Linked DNA regions of Mus musculus: region 2 is reported to be linked to region 1. The links are microRNA targets in miRTarBase. Many come from high-throughput screens and were not tested one by one. Region 1 holds a microRNA gene; the other region holds the end of a gene's coding sequence.

Region 1 (3,278 bases):
AAAGACACAAAGATGAACCCTGGAGTGACTAAGCGTATCAGTGACGACTGAAGTTTGAACCCAGACCCCCCAGGGCCCCTGGACCACTGTGGTCCTCAGCCTCACTTCTTGCCCTCTTTTCTTAAACCCCAGGAGCCTGTGGGGAAGTGAACAGAATTACTTCATGAATAAAATCTCCTATTCACCGTCAGACCATGGAAACCACAGAGAGGCCTGGAAGAGAGCAGGGATCTCATACCACTGAAAAATTACTTCAAAGACAACAAAACCTTGGGCCCATTTGGAGGATGGAAAGGGACATAAATTACAGTCTTTATCATGAATTGGACAATCATTTGGCAGCAAAGCAGGGTCCTCTAGATTCTTCCTCTCCAGCTGTGGCCAAGGAACTTGCCCATCCTGGACTCTGTCAACTTTCACTTCCAACTGCCCATGATTTGGCCTCTTCTCCTGAGTGAAAGTCCCTTGCAATGTCGTGTTTCTGAGATATCATAAAAGAGTGACAAAGGGCCAGTGTCTGAGACCTCAGTCCTTGGATTGCATAGGTACAGGCAGCCTCATCCTGAAGGAACAAATCCCGAGTCTCCACAGGAGCTGGCCGTGGCAGCCAATAGACATGGGGACTATAACTTATTTTATTTTTTGCCTCTGCATAAATTCACTCTGAAAAGTCATCTAGCTGGGAAGTCATAACTCTACTGCTGTTTCCACCCCGATTCTGTCCCGCTGACCCCAGAGTACTTCAAGATTGCCATGGGAACCTCCTGGGTCTCAATTATTAGACCATTAAGAAGGGCCAATTATAAGACCTCAGAGAGCTCCTGGGAAACCTGTTCCACACCTCAAAGTGGCCAACCTCTTGCCTCAGAGTCACTTTAAGTAAAGCTCAGAAAACAGGACATCCAGATGTATGGACACCCAAGCCCTTCATGTTGATCTAACAAGACCTTTTTAATGGTTTCCACGCTATTCTGGAGAAGACTTATGGCCAAGGCAAAAGATGCAAAAAGAAAAAGAAAGGAAGGAGAGAGGAAGGGAAGGAGGGAATGGAAGAGGGGAAGGAGGGAGAGAGGGAAGAAGGAGGGAAAGAAGATCATGGGGCGAGGTTACTTAGATTTAGAAGCCAGTGGTAGAATAAATCAGAAGTGTTTACAATATTCAAGAATCCATGATGCTACATTCATTAAGCGATCTGTGCTTTCAAAATTCTGGACAACAAAGAGCTAGGTGACAAACGTGCTGGTCCAGGACATTTCAGGCACATGGCCTGAAGCAGAAGCACGCTTTTCCAGTCATCCGGTAAGAGGTAACTCCAGTTCACACACTTGCTGCCATGGAGCTTGCTGGGAAAGAATAAGGGAGCACACGGCACCTCACCACACCCAGAAAGTGCCTGTTTGGGATTGCTGGTATGTGGTTTGGGTATTCTTAGACGAAACTGCCACATCCCTAGAGGACAACTCTTGTTTCAAGGGACTGAGCATGGGTCACCCCATCTCCAAAAGTCAACAGAGCCACCTCCAGGTTGACCAGTCTCTCAACCCCTGAGTTCTTTTCCACCAGGAAAACCGACAGACCCTTCGTAATCCCCGCAGAAAGTTCATTTTGCCTTTCCCTTTCTTCCACAGCCTTCTCTACCACTTGACCCACAAAATCACTTCTCAACCTTCTCATAGTTAATAGAAACAAAACCCCAGTGGGACACCACACACACACACACACACACACACACACACACACACACACACACACACACCTCTTGCTGATGCTTTACTCTCACAGACACCTCTGGATGCCAATTAATTCAGTGCCTCCCATCCACCGGTCCAGCCAAGAAGATTTTTTAAGAGCTGTTTAGCTTTTGGTCTCCCTTGGTCCCTGACTTAGGATTTTCCTTTTAAAACCTCGCTGATAACTTCTCCCCTTAAAGAAGCAAATCGGTGTCGAGTGTGGGCTTGTTCCCACCGCTTGGCTGTGCAACCAGGGCACCCTGTCAGCCCTTCGGGGTGAGTTTGGGAAGATGTCTGAATCTTCCTACCACCGGAGCAGCTTCCGGGAACCGCGGGAGCTAACCGAGCCAGACCGGGCAAGAGAGGGAAGCCCGGCGGCCCTCGGCTGGGCGGAGGAGCACAAGCAGTGGCGGCTCCGGGAACTTCGTGCGGCGTCAGGCCCTGACTCTAGTCGGATCCAGTCAAGCGCTGGGATTCCGGGCAAGAGCCCAGCTCAGAGATCGGAGCGCAAGCCCGAGTCCAGCTCACCGCTCCAAGCTCCAGTCTGAGCCCCAGCCCAGCGCTCGAGCTCCAACCCAGAGATCCAAACTCCGTCTGAACCCCAACAGAACACCCTGAGCCCCAAAGTGAGCCTCCAGCTTGAAACCCAGTCAAGCACTAGGGGCCCCAACCCCGGTCCTAGCCTAGCTGCCGGAGCCCCAGGCGGAGCCCCAGCCCAGCGCTTGGAGCCCGCGCCCTGCAGCACGTCTCCCGGGAGCCCTCGGCATCCCAGGACGGGCGGCCGCCTCCCACACGCCTCCTATCCCCAAACCAACAAATAAACACAACTTTTTATGAAAAGAAAACAAACTTCAGCGACATGACTCACCTCGCCTGCAGCCGGAGCCTGGGAAGAGGGGGCCGGGACTCCGGGTCCCGCGTGGTGAAGCGGAGAAGGGCCACACGGCCCCCGCGCACACCGACACACACACGCACAGCGCGGTGACACAAGAGGACACACACCACGGCAGAGTGGCCGCAGCCGGAGCAACAAAAGAGCCCAGGACCCAGAAGTTGCGGCCGGAGGAGGAAGGGCTTGTGTGGCCGCGGCGGGTACGAGGTGCGAGAGTGTGAGAATGCGGCCGGCCGGAGCTGACACCAGCGAGACCCAGCTCAGGGTCCCCACTGCAGGAAGCCAGAGCCGTGGTGGCAGCGGCGGCAGCAGGCGGGCAAGGCAGAGGACGCCGCGCCCAGCGCACCCAATCCCTCCATATGGAAGACGCTTTTTTGGATGACTGAACTTGCAAACAATTCCTTCTTTTGCTTCTCCTGCCTAGGAGCCTCCCATTACCGCTCGAAGAGGGGAGGGGAGCCGAGGAGGCGGGGAGGAGGGGGAGGAGCAAAAGGGAGCAAAGCAAAAAAGTCTTGAAAAGGAAACTGGAGTGGGGGGGGGGGGGAGGGACCACAAGTCCCCCCCAATTTTAGAACAATTTTTCCCTTAACGCCTACTTTCTTTGCACTGCGTTAAATTCCCTCAGTCCTTCCAAATTATTTTCTTTGACCACACCA
Region 2 (3,278 bases), not on the chromosome of region 1:
TCTCTCTTAGGGGCTCAGTGCACCAGAACTTTGACGACTTTACTTTTGTAACTGGCAAAATAATTGGAAACAAGCTGACACTGAAAGGAGAAATCGATTCCAGAGTAGCCATCGACCTCACCAACAAAGCTTCGATGGCTTTCTTACAAAAGCATTTAGGTAAGAAACAGCACGTTCCTCTGCTAGGTTCTCAGGATCAAATAGGGACATAGTCTTATTGTAGCTGTTTCCACTTGGCTTTTGGTAAACAAAGCAGTGAATCAATTTGAAAAGAAACATTTCAAAAAGAGGAGTATGTGGCCTTGCATTAATGTGTGTGCATGTGCATATATGCATACCATATATATGTACTCGTTGAAGCTAACAGCCCTTCTATGAACCCTAGAGTGGAGTTACATGTTGAAGGTACTGACAGCCTCTTGCTTGTCTCGAAGCAGCTCTGGAGGTTATGCATTTTCGAATGCAACCTGGGCCCTAGGAATTCCATTATCACTGTGATGATTCTGTAATTTGTGGCTCTGTGGTGCCACCTAGCGGCCCTCGGCTGTTTAACATTCTTGACAGTTTTCTTGTGGTTTTTATAGGGCTTCAGAAAGACTTTGATCAGTGGGACCCTCTGGTGGAAGGAGATGATGAGAACCTGATTCCTGGGTCACCCTTTGACGCAGTCACCCAGGTCCCGGCTCAGCAACACTCTCCAGGATCACAGACCCAGAATTAGAAGAACTTGCTTGTTACACAGTTGCCTTTTAAAAGTAGAGTGACATGAGAGAGAGAGAGAGAGAGAGCGCACGCGCGCGCGCGCGCGCGCGCGAGCAATGTATTTACCCAAATAAGCATTTTTTAAATATACACTGTACTGTAGGATAGTGATGAACGCCTAGCCTAAGATTTTTTTCCCCCTGTAAATGTAACGAATATAAAATAGAGAATACAAAAATGATTGTCTGTCTAAATCTTAATTTTACAAAGCTGGTCCTTTAAGTGTCAAATGAAAAGCTACTTTCATGTTACATTTACAATTAAAGCCTCTAGTCAGGAACGATGCCAGACAAAACACATTGGAAATGACTTAAGATTTCCAAACTAAACAATGAAACAGATTATCACAAACTAAACAATGAAACAGATTATCCCATCTTTGGCTTTCTGTAAGTCTGAGCAGCAGAGTTAAGACTGAGCAGCGGGAGAGCTTGTGTGGAATCTGGTGGCATGCCTCTATGACCTTTGGCTGAGGGTAGGAGCATCCATTGATCTGATCACGAAGTCAGTCCTAATGCAGGATGGGTGATGCTGTCCTGTTTCAACTGAGGATGAAAGGGGTTGTGCTGGAGGATTTTTAGAATATCTGGGACAGGGCAATAGAGTCAATATTGGCACATTAGGTTTTTAATTTCCGGTGCGTTCTGTTTACTAAATGGAGGTGTTGTGAGTAGGCAGGCCAGGGATCATTCAGACACGTTAGGTATTTACGCAAAGACTGTGAAGGACACAAAGGAAATGGTCAACATTCTCAGCCAACATTAGATGTTTTATTTGTATGACCTAGCCCGGCCTGGTGGTACACACCTTTACCCCAGCACTCAAGAGGCAAAGAAAGGCTGATCTCTGAGTTCAAGGGCAGCCTGGTCTAGAGTGAGTTCCAAGACAACCAGGGATGCCAGGGATATACAGAGAAACCCTGACTTGAAAAAAACTTGAGAGAGAGAGACCGATAGACAGAGAGAGAGAGAGAGAGAGAGAGAGAGAGACTGTGAGAGATGACATTGTAAGATTAACAGTTAAGTGGAAGTTTAAAGGGGGTCTTATAACATTTTGTGTGTACTATGTGTGCACACATAGGAGATACTTGTGTGTATTCATGTATGCACATGCATGGGGGTGTGCATGCCATCACACATGTGCAGCTCCTACTGATTCATCTCCCCAGCCCTTCAAAGGCACGTGCGCACGCTTGCACACACACACACACACACACACACACACACACACACACACACGTATACATCTGAGAACTGGGTAGAAAATGGGTTTGTTTGCTGAGAATGTACAGGAATGGAGGCTGTCCATCGGTTAAGTACCTATTCTGGTGTAACTGTCCGGTTGCGTCTCCGGAGTCAGCAGAGTGTGGCTGGGCTTGGCCAGTGTGAACAAGGGTTGTCAGCTTTGAGGTTTGATCCTTTTCTAGCTCAGGTAGTAGGTAGCTATGTTCTGATTTGCCACCACTTAGTGGTGGTCACTCACTCACACCGAGCAACTGGACATCTCCTCCCAGTTGCTGTTTACATTAACTTCATTTATTTATTATTTATTTTGGTTTTTCAAGGCAGAGTTTTCCCGTGTAGTCTTGGAACTCACCCTGTAGACCAGGCTGGTCTCAAACTCAGAAATCCATCTGCCTCTGCCACCCAAGTGCTGGGATTAAGTCTTTAAACAGATAAAATTCCTTCACACAAAACTGAAGGTTTTTCTATTCTGGCCATAGTGCAACTTCTTTTCCTCTTGGTAATTTATAACACTTCACTACCCCAGCCAAACTCTCTATTGCATTTATCCCAAAGACAACCAAGGTTTTTCAATTATTACTTTGTAAGAATTCTCTGTCTCTTTGTGTCTGTGTGTATCTGTCTCTGTGTTTGTGTGTCTGTGAATGTAAGTGTGTGTGTATGTGTGTGTGTGTGTGTGTGTGTTGGGGTGTGTGTGTCTGTGTATGTCAGAGTCTGTGTGATGTGTTGGTGTGTCTGTGTATGACTCTCTCTGTGTGTGTGTGTGTGTGTGTGTGTGTGTGTGTGTGTGTGTGTATGTGTGTGTGCCAGCCACTTCTTGTGCATGTGCAGGTGGTGGAGGCCAGAAGAGAACGTAGTAGTTCCTGGAAGTAGAGTTACAGATGGTTATGCGCTGTCCTGTATGGGTTCTGGGAACTGAACTCTGGTCCATTTCTAGAGCAGTAGGCACTCATAACTGCTGAGAGAGCTGCCCAGCATCTTATTTTGTAATGCAACTTCTCCATTTTCCACATATTGAAATGGCACCCACATTTTATGTTTTTAAGACTAGGTTTCATTGTGTAACTCTGGTTCGCCTAGAATCACTGTGTAGACCATGCTGGCTTAGAACTCGGAGGTCTGCCTGCCTCTGCCTCAAGTGTGCTGAGTGTAAAGACACCATGCCCAGCAACACCCAGTTGTCAATGCTTAATTCTCACTGTCCCCACAGGACTACATGGGCTGATATTTTTATTTTTATCCACATACGCTCACCTTATTCACACTGGGCAG

The links. The annotated mature microRNA mmu-miR-3081-3p reads UUGCGCUCCGAUCUCUGAGCUGG and lies in region 1 at 2,219-2,241, opposite strand. An mRNA with a match to its seed (bases 2 to 7 or 8) in the 3' UTR can be bound and repressed. Matches are read on the target gene's strand: a 7mer-m8 pairs with bases 2 to 8, a 7mer-A1 pairs with bases 2 to 7 and ends in A, and an 8mer does both.
Region 2: miRTarBase lists Pla2g7 as a target of mmu-miR-3081-3p. Seed matches in the 3' UTR shown: 7mer-m8 at 786-792.

What each region holds. Positions count from the first base shown.
Region 1 is chr16:44,555,840-44,559,117 of GRCm38, forward strand. Mir3081 (microRNA 3081) reads right to left here and starts at 2,290; the gene lies at 2,207-2,290. Boc (biregional cell adhesion molecule-related/down-regulated by oncogenes (Cdon) binding protein) reads right to left here and starts at 3,031. Exons shown (of 19, transcript NM_172506.2): 1 at 2,599-3,031.
Region 2 is chr17:43,611,259-43,614,536 of GRCm38, forward strand. It overlaps Pla2g7 (phospholipase A2, group VII (platelet-activating factor acetylhydrolase, plasma)), which reads left to right. Exons shown (of 12, transcript NM_013737.5): 11 at 11-159; 12 at 585-943. The coding sequence ends at 721. Among named protein-coding and RNA genes, the nearest start is that of Tdrd6, 17 kb to the right of the region's middle.